4 linked regions of the Rattus norvegicus genome follow. The main gene of each other region encodes a partner of the protein of the gene in region 2 in a complex. Links are inferred from orthologs where the notes say so. Each region holds a gene or a part of one and is shown on either strand. Other genes may lie near its edges.

Region 1 (2,772 bases), on a different chromosome or scaffold from region 2:
TAGATTTGGAAAAGGACTTAGGGGAAGGAAGAAGAGGCATACACTAGAATTAAATAGCACTGGAGTGTAAGTTTAGAGAAACTTAACTTTCCTCAGGTCAAAAACCATTTTGCCAGCTGAAAAGATTTTGCAGTTAACTTCAGGAGTCATTACTGAGCACATTCTGATCCTTCCACTAAAGCCTGAGGCTTACTACCAAAACAAACAAACAGAAAAATAGTTTTACAGGGATATATCACATTTTCAAAATACTGTCATCTTTGGGCACATGCCTTCAATCCCAGAACTTGGAAGGTAGAGGCAGGCAGAGCTCTATGAGTTTAAGGCAATCCTGGTATATAGAGTGAGTTCCAGGACAGCCAGGGTTACAAAGAGAAACCCTGTGTTGATAAACAAAACAAAACCCCCTTAAAAATCAGCTGGTTACAGGGGCTGTCAAAATAGCTGAAGGCTAAGCCCAGTGACCTGAATTTGAGCCCTGGATCCACATGGTAAAATGAGAACTGACTCCAGCAAGTTGTCCTTCAACTTCCAGAAGTGCGCCATAGCACTTGAGTGCAGACACTCTGAGTATAATAAAAACGTCACCCCATTTATAGAAATGAGGTCTTGCTAACTATAACCCAGAAGACTGCTTTTGGTCAGAAGTTTTGAGTTAAATCAGACATCCCAGTGCCTACAGTACAAATATCACCAAAGCTACCTGCCATGTGGGTCGGCATAGACAGCAGGGAGCACATGGAGAGTAGCAGATTGTGTCTCTCAGACTGACAGAATGCAGACACCGTGAAGAAGCACACACTGCAATGCACAAAGCCCACTTCAGAGGGGAGAATAGCCATCAAGACCTTGTTAGAAATTTTATTTAAAAAAAAAAAAAAAAAAAAAAAACAAACCCAAGCCCCTTAAATTTTCTATACCAGGCTTAGTCTGACTAACTCCCTGCAAAGAGGCGAAGGTCCATATGAGACCAAGTTCCACTTAGGTGATTCCTACCTTATTGGCTGCCAATATTTGGGGGTAGGGGTGACAGTCCAGCTTCTGGACTCAAGAAAATGTTTTGTCAATGTTCTCATAAGCAGAAGTTCTTTGCCTATTAAGATTTCTCAGAACCACAAAGTTTCAAGAGATGCTGGGATAGCAGCAACTTGAGGCTCGAAATAACATTGATCAGCACACGCATTTCTTTTAGCATCTGGATTAGAAATGCTAGCCCTTTTGCTCCAAGGTTAGAGTCTCTGGGCTTTTCCACTGTGACTCTGAATCAGGTTCTCCTTCCTCTAGATCTCAGGTGTTGAGGCCTGCATCTGGATGCTTGAAGCAACACACTTCCTTCACTTAGGAGCAGAGCAGCAAGCCCGATTACACACCTGGACACTCTTGCCCCAGCAGGGCGTGCAGTGGGTTCTTGAGCCTCCTCCTGAGGCTCAGGAGGCAGGTTCTGGTGACTTGCCCAAGAGGGCTGCTTCCCAGCCCTAGCTTTGGGCTAGCACTGTCCCTCGATTTGGTTGCATAAGTTCACAAGCTCTCAGCTGGGGTTCTAGCAGATGGGGCTCAGCTAGGAACAAGCGAAATAGTGTTGACAATTCTTCTGAGAAGTCCTAAAGTAAGTAGAAAGGTTAAGAAAAGTAATTCTGGATGTTCTGTCCTTTCTAAGGTCAGTCCCACCCGAATAATCACTCACAGCCAGTGAAACACTGATAACCCAGCTATTTCATCTAATGTCTTCTCTGCAGAAATGGATATAAACCTCCATGGCTGGTAAACTGAGGCATTAAGTTCCAGCAGGGAAAGTGGACTCTATTAAGAAGCAGAGGCTTTAACATTTTCAAGCACAAAGTATTAATCTTATTTTAACAGCACTATTTTGCTCTAAATCACAAGAGCATTTTAAATATAAGCCAACATTTACTTGAGTTTCAAATCCCCAATATTCACTGTGCCATGCCTATTTCTAATTGTCCTCCTTTCCCTCTGTTCTTCTGAGAGTCTTACAAAGTAGTCACTTAGATCAAACCCAATACATGGTCTCGTGGTAGTCCTGGAAACACTTTGGCAAAAAGGCACATAGCTGTAGCTATGGTGGGCTCACAGTTAGAATCTCATTCCCAGCAAGTAGAAAGAATGCAAGTTTGTGGTTTGTGGGCTACAAAAGCAATCTTTAGGACAAATGAGACATATCTTCAAGACAAAGGGATTAACATTAAGATTCCTTACCCCTGGCCACTGGGCTTCATTAAGGCTGACTAAGCAGGCTTCTATTTCCAAATGCCCCATGAGATCCTTTTCTACCAGCTCCCGGAGTAAGAACAGTAGCAGGTCCCACTGCAAAACACCACAGAGAAAGTCAAAAGTTGTCAGGATCATATAGTAGTCCTAACAGTAGAGACTGAGGACTGTACAGTAGTCCCAAGAGTAGACATCTCGAAGGACAGAGCTGGAGATAACAGAGTTGGAGATAATGGCTCAACATGCTGTTAAAAGCAATTCAACACTCAGGAGGCAGAGGCAGAGGTGCAGGGGTAGAGGATCTCAGGTCAGCCAGGTCTACAGAGTAAGTTCCAGCTATATAGAGAGAGTTCTGGCTACACAGAGAAATAATGTTTTGGGATGGAGAGATGGCTCAGAGGTTAAAAATACTGTCTGCTCTTCCAGAGGTTTTGAGTTCAATTCCCAGCAACACATGGTGGCTCACAACCACCTATAATCAGATCTGGCGCCCTCTTCTGGCATGCAGGCAAGAAAGCTGTATGATGTATACATGATAAATAA
Region 2 (4,093 bases):
CAGCTGTGTTGTGTTGCTATGGCTCTCACAAGGCTATGCACACTCACAACTCAGTTTCATGACACTTTTAATTAAAGTATCACAGCCTTTAAATTACTGATGCTGAGCCTTTCTTAGCCATTTATTTATATACAATAAGTTATTTGGGGTTTCCTAATAGAAAACATTCAGGCCAGATTCAGTTCTGTATTTAAGAGGCGGCATCTCTAACACTTAAGCAACTCCTTGCCCATTACTAAGGGAATTGTTTCTTTTTTTTTTTTTTTTTTTTTTTTTTCGGAGCTGGGGACCGAACTCAGGGCCTTGCGCATGCTAGGCAAGCGCTCTACCACTGAGCTAAATCCCCAACCCCCGGAATTATTTCAAAGAGAGGATTCATTGAAATTGTCCTCTCTGTGAAGGGAGAAACAGAGGCCAGGTGCAGGAAGAAGTAGACTTTTCTCTTGGATTATGCCTGCAGTAAGATTTGGTTAGGCAGAAATACTTCGAACAAAAATTAAAAGCTAGCTTATTACTCCTTGCAGTATTACAAATATCTCCCTCTAAGAAGCATGGATAATTGAAAACATGACTAGTTTTATGTAGCAACTTAATAAAGCAGGAGAAATAACACTCTTTCACAAAAGATACTGTCTAAAGCTTGGGCAAAGTCCTGAACACTGTCCGAGGCATCTGAGAACAGGATTTACACTAAGAGTGTTTCTCCTCACAAGCTCTAACGGGGGATGGATTTGTCCCAGTGCTCCTCTATCAAACCTAGACTAAAGCTTTAGTGAAGTGTTAGACTGTCATTCCAATGGCTCAAGTCATACGTCTCTATCTGCTAACACATTTCTTCGCCTTGCAGTTGCTGACTCTACCAAAATAAGGTTGTTCTATCCCACCCGCAGATGCATGCATGGTGCTGACCAGAGCACCATTTGAATGTGTTTGGGGATACTTTCATCCTGAAAGACAGTCCCACAGGACAAACTCAACCTTGTACACACAGCATACTTGTAGTCTGTCTAGTTCCCAAAAGTAATCTCAATGACACCCCTGAATATACTCCAATATGAATCCTCTGTATTCATATATGGAAATCAGTCTTACCTGAAACACAAACATATGCCTGCCTGCAGGAACAGGACCCACTAACACAGAGTCTAAAACTTGATCGTATTCTTCACTTTCAGCAGAGCCCACGTAGATAATTTTCCACTCCAAGTCTAGGGTAAAATAACCAAAACCATTATTTCATGGCAGCAATTATATATTCCCATGATAAAGTCCCTTCTGTTGACCACTGAAGGGCTAAATGGTTTTTTGACCAAGGAGATAAGGAAATGTTACTTAGGTATTTCTCTCTCACCATAATTCATATTTCATTCCATTAACTTCTCCAAATTAATTCTCTTTCATAAAGCACTGGTCCCTGGAGGGTGTTCCTCACAAGTAAAACGTGAAAAAAGTTGGGGAAACCCTAAACGTTTGCCACAGGTACTCATAAAGCAAAATGGCACAGTAAGCTCTGGAGACCTCCTTTAGTAAAGAACAAGGGGAATCCCATTGTCCAAGCTCATGTACTCTGCAATTCCCCCAGCCTCTTTTTGTGCTCCATTTTTAACTTCACTGCTGTAGAAAAGCCGCCTTATGAAACAGAAATCATCACAAAATCTAAAATGGAAAAATCATTAGCAAACCTTCCTTGTGGTTCAGAAGTTTCAGCTCATCTCCTGACATGAATTCGTCAATCTGTTACCTCATCACTCTTACTAGCTAACAGAATAACTGTGTTACTAACTTGTACTTACATTGTATTACCAACTATGCCAATCAGATACCAACCAGACAGTGGGGCTGCTTACTCCTGATACTCTTTTCTACCATACATTCTTAAAACCACAAAACTCTTCATAGAGCAGAGTATTTATATAGCATACAGGCAGAGACACGATACACTCAAGCAAACCTAACCTAAGATTTGCCTTGTAATTTAACCTAGATTTCATTAAGCACCCTTGTAGAAAATTCTCTATAAGAATTGAGAGGATTAAAACCATTGCTCTTTGAAGGAATCTGAGAATCTGCTCTTTAAACCTAGGAGGAAGGTGACAATCTCCTGTAATGTGGTCTGTGCTTGGCTTCATTACAGAGAGACTATACTAAGCACTCCCAAGGGGTTGAATCTCTGGTTCACTCTGGAAGGCATCAACAAATCCATTCTTGTGTGTGCCCATGTGGGTATCTCCTAAATTTGGAAGAGTATTGGGAACTTCTTTGAATCATACTATACTTGCAAACTGAAACTTTTTCAATTGCAACTTCCTTGTTATTTGTAATGTTTTAAAAGCCAGCAGTTACTATTAGGTCCTGGCTGGGCCACAGACTAAGGCTGTTTGTATTTTCAGCTTTCAGTACATTTCCAGATTCAGGGTTCTGCATTTGGCGTCTTATCACAGCACTTACTTGTTGGATCTAGGAAGAGACAATAATATTTTCTGACCAGAAAGAACAGTAGAACAGCCACAAATGTAAAAAACCAATTTGATGTGTTCAAGGATTAGCCAAGAGGCTGGGATTTTTGGAACAGAGAAGTTACCAAATCCTGAGTTTATGATAGAGAGCAACACAGCCACATCATACAAGGCCTAATGCCCACCATTAAGGATTTTGGCCTAACACTTCTAGCACCATTTTGCTGTGCTGGGCATCAAACCCAGAACTTTCACACGTTCTAGGCACCCACTTTATCACTGAGCTACAGCCCCAGCCCTGCAGCTGCAGTTTTTCAACCTTGCTAATACTGTGACCCTGTAATAACAGTTTGTCAAGGTTTGGTGACTATCCGACCATAAAATTATTTTGTTGCTTCTTCATAACTGCAATTTTGCTACTGTTATGTAGCAAGTGAATTGTAATATAAACATCGGTGTTTTCCAGTAGTCTTCTGGGAGTTATGCTCACAAGTCAGAACCACTGCCCTGAAGGTTTTAAACAAAGTGACAGAACCCTCCTTTTATCTTAAAGGATCATTTTACTTGCTGTGTTTTGTGTAAGCTGTGGGGGGACAGGGGAACAAGAGATTGGTTCAGTGGTTCACTACAGAAACAGTACAGTGCATGGGTGAGTTGTGGTGGCCATGGGACTGGTGTAAAGCATTCACATCCCAGATAAAGTTTGAAAATGGAAGCAACAGTAGCCACTTGGGGGCGGGGGGGGGGGGGTGTCAGTGTAAAGAAGAAAATCAGGAGTTAAGTTTTATACATGTCTAAGATGCCTATTAGTTGTTTAAGTATAAACACACAAAAATCAAATTTTTAAGAATTGAAATTTGGCAATAATGCATAATAACAAGGACAAGGATGGGATTCCTAGGAGTAAAATGAGTCTTAGTCAACACCAGTGTTGACAGGTCAGGAAGAGAATGAATCAGTAGTTTAGAAAGCCAGGCCCAATGAAGGAAGTAATTAATGCAAAGCCAGGTGGATATCCTGCTAAGGAGAAGGGCATATGAGAGCTACTGACTGACCTGAGGTAAACGCTTCATCATACAGATAGAATTACTCAAGCACATATATACTCTCTGTCCATGTGCATGCGTGCTCACACTAATACAAGCAAAGCTGAAAGGTGGAGAAGCTAAGTGATCTAAAATTCACAAGCTTACAAATCAGAACCATAATTAAAGCTGGGTTGCTGCTACTCAAAAGCTTGGGCTTTTAAGCCTTGGCCTTCCAGCTTTCAAGTAATGAGTTTAAAAAAGATAGGAGAGAGTGGGTAAAGACAGGTAACGGAGAGTGAGGTAATCTAACCTTAAGAAGAACAAACTGAGGCTCAGGAACAGGCACACATTGGGTCTGAATGTGATGGAATGCTTATTTATCAAGCAGTTTCACTACTAGAGTTATGAGCTGAAAATTATTTATTTATTTTGAAAATTAGCTTTTCCATTTAACCGTGGTAATCCCAGGCAGAAAGTATCTCCACGTGTGGCCGGAGGGATGCTACCGAGGAAACTGTCAGTTAACTAATTATTGGGAAACTCTGTGGCCTAGTAGAAAATACACAGCCTTTGCAATCAAAGCAGGCCTGATCTTTCAAAGGATAAAGC
Region 3 (2,815 bases), on a different chromosome or scaffold from region 2:
GTAAAGTTTTCTGTATTAACTTCACAGCCACATTCAGGCTATTCCCCCTCAGCCCTCTACTATACAGTTCAGCTAACCAGGCTCTCAGTTTGATTTCTGAGTAAGCAAGCAGGTTAGTCTCCATGCCTGTCATCTCAGAACACCACCAGCTCTTTGTAGGGACAATATACTAACACCCAGAGAATTAAACTACAGGGCAAAACATCCTCTTGATAAGAGGTTCCTATTGCTTACCAATCAGGTTGAGTCAATACAATAGCTGGGCTTTCCTACCCTACAGGAATCCTCTAATACAGAATTTTCTGGATGTGTCCCCTGGAATTATGTAAGTTAGCATTTCCCTGACTTCTGCCACCGCTGTAACAGACGGGCAAAGTTAACTTTTAAGGCACAGGAACAGCTAGCCTTTTTAACTTCAGGCCAAATCTGACTCAAAACACTAGGCAATTAACAAAACTTACTTGATTGATAACTGTTGTGGACGCATTTGGGTACTATCCACCATGCGAACACTATAGTTGTGACAGTATGTTTACTACCCGTAGGAGCTGGGCTCCTGCCTTCATTGGACAAGGACAGTCACCAATACAGCTATTAACGTTGCACTACAAAGGCTCAGGCCACGATACCTGTTAAGAGAAGGCAGGTTAGAATGGGATGTACTTTAAGCTGAACAGCCCACAGGGCAAGGATCAGCTGCTGACCTCGCTAACCCTATCCCTGGGAAGCCACTTGGATCCCCAGCCACTGTGTCTTGATCTCCAGAAGTGAAGGAGATCAAAGAAATCTTGGTTACAACACTGTTTTCCGAATCTGTGGGTGGCTCTGAAAAGAGCCGTTGGGTTGGTTGATGAGCAGTGCCTGTGGAGGTCTAAGCCCGTTCTCCGCGTATGCGCCGAGCCAACTGGATGTCTTTGGGCATGATGGTAACCCGCTTGGCATGGATAGCGCACAGGTTCGTGTCCTCGAAGAGCCCCACGAGGTACGACTCGCAGGCCTCCTGCAGCGCCATTACAGCCGAGCTCTGGAAGCGCAAGTCGGTCTTGAAGTCCTGGGCGATTTCACGGACCAAGCGCTGGAACGGTAGCTTGCGGATCAACAGCTCGGTGGATTTCTGGTAGCGCCGGATCTCTCGCAATGCCACAGTACCAGGGTGGTAGCGGTGCGGCTTCTTCACGCCGCCGGTGGCTGGAGCGCTCTTGCGTGCCACCTTCGTGGCTAGCTGCTTGCGTGGAGCCTTGCCTCCCGTCGACTTCCGTGCTGTCTGCTTGGTGCGTGCCATCTTCCTGGGCCGTATTCCCTCCTCTCCTCAGGTGCAGAGGGTGGCGAGCACCGCAGCTTTTATAGACCCAGCTGCATTCCTATTGGTTGCCCGCCAGGTGGCATTATGGGATGCTGCACTCTGATTGGTCTACTGGGGTCTCTACTTTACACCCTGCCTCTTACATTCTCTCTGAGCGGTGTGGCTTCCAGAGCCGTTAGTTGAGGCTCGGTAGGAATGCAGTGGGGACTGTAGAAAAACTCAAGTTGTTTTCTCAGAGCCTTTTGTTGTTGTTGTTGTTTAAAGAAATAAAACCCAAACAGACAAAAAAACAAAAAACCAAACAAACAAACAAAAAAAACCCAACATTGCCTCGACCCCAAGACACAAAGAACATTCTAGAACCTTTCTGCAGCAAGGCATAGTTTTCCTGAGTTCTGGAATACTAAAACAAGAACACCCCCCCCCAAAACCCCCAATCAACCAACCAAACAAACAACCAACCAAACAAACAAAAAAACCCCACCTGGTTTAAGGACACCCCTGGGGTGGCGTGGACATGGGTGAGGGCTGGAGGGAGGTAGCTCGGAAGTTAAGCTTAATTCTAGGACTTGGGAGGCAGAGAACGGTGTATATCTGTGTGTTTGAGGCTAACTGGGGTTACATATTAAAGCACTTTTTTTTAAAATGGGGGGGTAGAATTAGAAAAGTTCAATAAAAGAAAAATGAAAAAATAAAATGTTATTTGCCGGAAAAATGGGAAGAACTCAAGATCACAGAGTTAAGTAAGCCGGATCCAGGAAGAAATGCATGGCATGGGTTCTCTAGCATGTGGAAGCTAGATTTTTTTTTTTAATCATAAAAATGGGGATGGGTACTTATGGAGAGAAAGGTGACCAGAGGGAAGAGGGAAAAGGGGAGAGCTGATGTGTGTGCAGATATGAACAAAGATTGTGTGTGTAAAGTTATCAAAATGAAAGCCATTACTAAGCACAGTTAACATGCATTAATAAAAAAAATCTGAAAGAAAGAAATGACTCAAAGGACAGTGGCCCATGCTTATAACCTCAGCACTCGGTGGCTGAACAGAAAGATAACAATTTTGAGGCTTAGTGTACACTTTATCAAACAAAATAAAGCACCTTTAGATCTGAAAAAAATCATAAAAGATTTCTGAAGCAAAGATTTTAAGGATGGCATGGGTTGTATTCAAGGATCTCCCAAAGGTCACAATCTGGACATCAAACAATAGTAATAATGGTTAGTTACTTAGACCACGTCAGAGGTCATCCACATAATTCAGAGGTCATCCACATAATTTCAAAAACGTGAGTCCAGTAAAGGAAAGAAATCAAACTGCGGTGCATCCTTACGGACTTGGTTTAAAAAACAAAACAAAACAGAATGCACTGACAATCATGGTGTTTTGCTTCTAAACATATACGTGTAGTTTAAACAGAGCCCAGGGGTGCGGTCGCGGGGAGGCGCTACATCAACCGGAGGACATGGGTAGTCCATTGGTGGTGCCCGGGAACCGGGGCATCCTGGCACTAG
Region 4 (4,093 bases), on a different chromosome or scaffold from region 2:
CATAGCAAGCAAGCACTTAGTCATTATACCATCTCCCCAGTCCTTGGAAGCATCACTATAGGAGAGAAGACTAATTTTTAGTGTTGGGGATTAGCATAAAAGAGGTGTGGTTGTCACAGAAGAGTTGGCATCCGTTCATTTAAGAAATATTTGAGGGCTGGAGTGAGGCTCAGAGATTAATAAGCACATGGACTACTTACTCTTTCAGAGGCCCTGAGTTCATTCCCAGCACATGGGAACCACATGGTGGCTCACAACCATCTGTAATGGAATCCCATACGCTCTTCTGGTGTGTCTGAAGAGAGTAACAGTGTACTCACATACATAAAATAAGTAAATGTAAAAGAAAATACTTTTTAAAAAAAAATATTTGAGCACCTACTACTTTCTCAGTGGCAATAGATAGAAAAGATGAGTGGAAGTAGACTGATGAGAGTGATTAGGTGGGTTGACCAGATGCCTCTAAATGGAGCAAAGAGTGGACCTGTGGGAGTGGGAAGTGCTAGAGAAGTGAGGGTAAGTTCTGACCAGCAGGCCAATGCTTGCTTTTTACGCTTCCATTGTGTTTACAGGCATGCGTGTAGGGAATACCGGATTCACAAAGAACTGGATCACCCCAGAATAGTGAAGCTGTATGATTACTTTTCACTGGACACTGACTCGTAAGTCCCACCCCTTCCCCTTACTTTATCTTCTTGACATAATGAATCCTTGTGGACTGGAGCTTAGATCTGATAATTTACAGGCAAATATTTATAACAATTCAGATTTGGATCAGCCAGACATCTCTTGACTAAAGGATAAGGACACTTGTATGCTGGTAAAAACTGTCTTGACAGAAAGTTAAGGTGATTGTCAGTATTTGTGGCATAAATATTTCCATTATGTCCAATGTTAAGATACCAACTTAAAAAATTAGCGAACTTTATTCTAATTTATATACCATAAGATTCATCCATCACAATTGAGTGGGTTTTCATGTGTGTCACAGATCTATATGGACATTATCCAAAATCATTTTGACGTTTTCACTCTCAGAAGAAACCTGAACCTTTTTACTGTCACTTCTCCATTTTACTCTCCCTCTGTTTAAGCAGACACTGCTATCTGTAACCTTAGAAATGGTGTTGGGAACAGTCTCACATGTGGAATCATGTAGTATGTGGTCCTTTGTAACTGATTTATTTCAGTTAACATGATGCTTATCCATCCATGTGTGTGTCTGTTGTCCTTATTTGTTTATCCCTTCTTACAGCCAGATTTATCAATTCTTCTTAGTCTTACATAGAGTTGTCTAGCCCAGCTCACAGTGTTCCTGAAAGCGTAGCAGTCAGTCCTTACCTAGGAACTGGTTCAGGCTGGTGCTGTCATGGCACTAGCAGGCCTAGTGATCGTGAGTATAGACTGTTGAAGAGAGCCTCAGCCCCACTCTGGAGACTGAGGAGCCCAGCCAGCCTTAAGTACCACAGTGTCCTAAAGCAGGAAGGTTTACGTGACAAAAGTAAAGAGAGCCCAGTGCTGCAGGTTGGAATACAGGTTCCTGGGCAATAGGATTTTAGAATTGGGAGGGGGTCTTAGGGTTCAGCCTTTTGGAGTATCAGAAAAACAAAATTATTTGTGTGAGATTTTGGTCCTCTTGATACCAAAACTCAGTAAACTGCAGCGCATTTGGGTTTATTCGGGGCTTAGGGATATTTCAGTGTTTGGAAACTTTTAGTTGCAGATAGGCCTGAGTCAGAAGAGCATAAGATCCCTTAGGCCTGGCCTGTAGATGGTACCTCAGTCTCCAAAGGATGTCCAGGAGTTTGGTCTATCCACCTGGAAGCTCTCTCAGACAAGCAGCCCATGTGTAGACATGTATCCAAGAAGAGGGTCTGACTCATTTCAGCATCTCAGATAAGAATGAGCATTTTGAACAGGCTCCCAGAGCATTGGCATGCCTTTTAGGTGTCATAAAAAGTATAGTTTATTGTTCAGTCCTGAGATTCTGCAAGTGTGTTTTTGTAGTCAGTTGCAGGGTGGCTTGAAGTTCAGCTTATAGCTGCTCACCGCTACCCCTCATTCCACTGCATTGGGAGGCATCTCTGGTAAGCCTTGTCAGTGGGTGTTCAGCTGGGTTGACCTAGTGGGTATGCACACAGCTCTGGTTTCCCTTGTGACCTGATTTCTCATAGCACCACCTTCATCCTCTGACCCTCTGGTTTTAAGCTGCTAACAGCTTCCTGCTGTAACTGGTCACTAGGGTGTCTTACTGGACAGTTTGTCCTTTTAGATCTTCAGCATACGAATCAAAGCCTCTGTCTTCAATATTCAAGTGGTTTTTATTCCCTGGTTAAGTCCTGACTGAGAAACCATAACCTAAAAATATTTTTTAAAGTATTTTTATCTCTCAGGAATATTCAAAAAATACAAGGAAACATCAATTTGAATAGTCGGGGGGATAGATGCGTTACTTGTAGTACCAACAATGGTGTGCAGTTTTAAATGGGGAATGAATGATATATTGACATAAATATGAGTAAAAGAATTCATACCATATGGAACACATTTGTGTAACCTTTTGCCAGACATAGTATACAACCAGTTCTTGAGACATGGGCAGAACCTAGACTCTTCCTTAGTGTATGCATTCGGTTTTAATAGACACATGCAAGGATAATCGTGTGATTGATCACTGTATAATAATGGACATGTGCTAAGGGTATTCAAAGGAGACCCTGCTATAAGAGGATGGCTAGCTCACACATTATAGTTCTTGTCAGTGTTCTTAGAAGAACTATGCCATAGTGAACTTTGGCACAGTTGATGCCAGTATGGAGATTGCAGAAGCTCATCTCCAAGAGAGCAGTTACCTCACCTCCTATAAGCTTTGGCGGCTGATGCAGAATAGAAGAGTGTTTTGGGAACAAAGAAGAAAGGAATAGAAGCTGTAATACCTGAGTTTTCACTGAGAGTGGTTTAGATAGTTTTAATCTGCTTTCTACTCCACTGTTAAATGCTGGTTTATGTGTCTTCAGGTTTTGTACAGTATTAGAATACTGTGAAGGAAATGATCTGGACTTCTACCTAAAGCAGCACAAATTAATGTCGGAGAAAGAAGCCCGATCCATTATTATGCAGATTGTGAATGCTTTAAAGTACTTAAATGAAATAAAACCTCCCATCATACACTATGACCTCAAACCAGGTATGGCTGACTTTGTGTCTTTTAAGTGACCTTTAAGTTTGTTAAGAATTTGACAGGAGCTATGAAGACCCAACAGTACATCACTGTGGATGCCTGGGCAGGAGTGAGAAGAAAGGAGTCCTGGGCTGCCTGGTGCTGGGGGTGGGTGGATAGGTGGGTGGGTGAATGAGTTAGATGAAATTCTCTGGAGAAACAGTACCTTTGTGTGTTGAACAAGGAACATGAATGATGTCATTTAGGGACAACTGTTTTGGCAAGTTCCATTTTGGCTTTGTCCCATTATTCGCATATGCAGTAGTTTATCTCAGGTCTCCCTGATAAGTACACATATGCCTCATTTCCTCAAGACCTGAGCAGTTTTATATAATTATCATTTAGCTTGGTAGGCATCAGGAAAAGGCAAGAAGCTTTTTCCTCCTTACCTTTTGTTTTTGTTAGGTGGCTTTTAGTTTGTTTAAATGTGTGTGCTTGTCATCTTCTTTTCTGTGGAGCTGTAGCTTGGCCTTCCTCTTCTGTTGGCTGTGACCACTCACTGGTCTGTTTCTAAAGTCACTACACTTTCCTGTTGTAGGTGGCGCTGTGGCACCACTTTTGATTCCCAGAATGCTTTCTTTAGATCTCCCCCACCCCCACCTTCCTGAAATTGCTGTTCTAGGCTGGCTAGCATAGAGAGCACACTGAAAGTTCATGTGAAATTTTCCCACCATTTTTTTTTTCATTTTCTTTCTGTTTTTAATCACCTGTACAAGTGATATTTTACTTTGGCAAGTCATTTTTATTTCCAGTGCCCAGCATAGGTTTTGGCACATTAAACAGGAGATTCTAAGAAAATAGAAATTTCCAGTGGTCACTGAAGATTCTCCCAACATTAGAATTAGACTGTTATTCCTAAGATTTAGAGTTCAC

What was found.
Region 1: the proteins of Asf1a (region 2) and Cdan1 are in contact, whole or in part, in a cryo-EM structure (PDB 9CVC), measured with the Homo sapiens proteins. The link is inferred for Rattus norvegicus from reciprocal best matches to the Homo sapiens genes ASF1A and CDAN1. Residues at the interface, in NP_054753.1 of Homo sapiens: Gln5, Val6, Asn7, Asn8, Val9, Val10, Val11, Leu12, Asp13, Pro15, Asn20, Pro21, Phe28, Asp37, Val45, Ser47, Ala48, Glu49, Ser50, Glu51, Glu52, Asp54, Asp58, Ser59, Val60, Leu61, Val62, Gly63, Pro64, Val65; in NP_612486.2 of Homo sapiens: Arg195, Arg196, Ile197, Asn198, Thr200, Val202, Lys390, Leu391, His470, Glu471, Glu472, Pro473, Gly474, Trp475, Asp476, Lys538, Arg541, Arg544, Leu545, Gln546, Arg548, Leu549, Met550, Ala551, Pro552, Gln553, Ser554, Ser555, Arg806, Lys807.
Region 3: the proteins of Asf1a (region 2) and H3f4 are in contact, whole or in part, in a crystal structure (PDB 8Z50), measured with the Homo sapiens proteins. The link is inferred for Rattus norvegicus from reciprocal best matches to the Homo sapiens genes ASF1A and H3-4. Residues at the interface, in NP_054753.1 of Homo sapiens: Val45, Ala48, Glu49, Glu51, Asp54, Val92, Thr93, Val94, Leu96, Arg108, Gly110, Tyr111, Tyr112, Asn114, Glu116, Leu140, Asn143, Arg145, Thr147, Phe149; in NP_003484.1 of Homo sapiens: Asp107, Leu110, Cys111, His114, Lys123, Gln126, Leu127, Ala128, Arg130, Ile131, Arg132, Gly133.
Region 4: the proteins of Asf1a (region 2) and Tlk2 are in contact, whole or in part, in a crystal structure (PDB 7LO0), measured with the Homo sapiens proteins. The link is inferred for Rattus norvegicus from reciprocal best matches to the Homo sapiens genes ASF1A and TLK2. Residues at the interface, in NP_054753.1 of Homo sapiens: Val45, Ala48, Glu49, Glu51, Asp54, Asp88, Val92, Thr93, Val94, Leu96, Arg108, Gly110, Tyr111, Tyr112, Arg145, Thr147, Phe149; in NP_001271262.1 of Homo sapiens: Arg11, Arg12, Gln13, Leu15, Leu16, Glu17, Arg19, Phe20, Thr21, Gly22, Val23.

The regions. Positions count from the first base shown.
Region 1 is NC_086021.1:128,128,827-128,131,598, forward strand, and holds the end of Cdan1 (codanin-1), read right to left. Parts: exon of another isoform or gene 2,326-2,772; coding exon 2,218-2,325; exon of another isoform or gene 1,602-2,217; coding exon 1,476-1,601; 3' UTR 838-1,475; downstream 1-837. UniProt on the Homo sapiens protein: May act as a negative regulator of ASF1 in chromatin assembly.
Region 2 is NC_086038.1:33,439,172-33,443,264, reverse strand, and holds part of Asf1a (histone chaperone ASF1A), read right to left. Parts: intron 1,209-4,093; coding exon 1,093-1,208; intron 1-1,092. UniProt on the Homo sapiens protein: Histone chaperone that facilitates histone deposition and histone exchange and removal during nucleosome assembly and disassembly.
Region 3 is NC_086028.1:44,238,844-44,241,658, reverse strand, and holds H3f4 (H3.4 histone), read right to left. Parts: upstream 1,378-2,815; 5' UTR 1,283-1,377; coding exon 872-1,282; 3' UTR 817-871; downstream 1-816. UniProt on the Homo sapiens protein: Core component of nucleosome. Nucleosomes wrap and compact DNA into chromatin, limiting DNA accessibility to the cellular machineries which require DNA as a template.
Region 4 is NC_086028.1:90,733,091-90,737,183, forward strand, and holds part of Tlk2 (serine/threonine-protein kinase tousled-like 2), read left to right. Parts: intron 1-572; coding exon 573-662; intron 663-3,017; coding exon 3,018-3,187; intron 3,188-4,093. UniProt on the Homo sapiens protein: Serine/threonine-protein kinase involved in the process of chromatin assembly and probably also DNA replication, transcription, repair, and chromosome segregation. Phosphorylates the chromatin assembly factors ASF1A and ASF1B.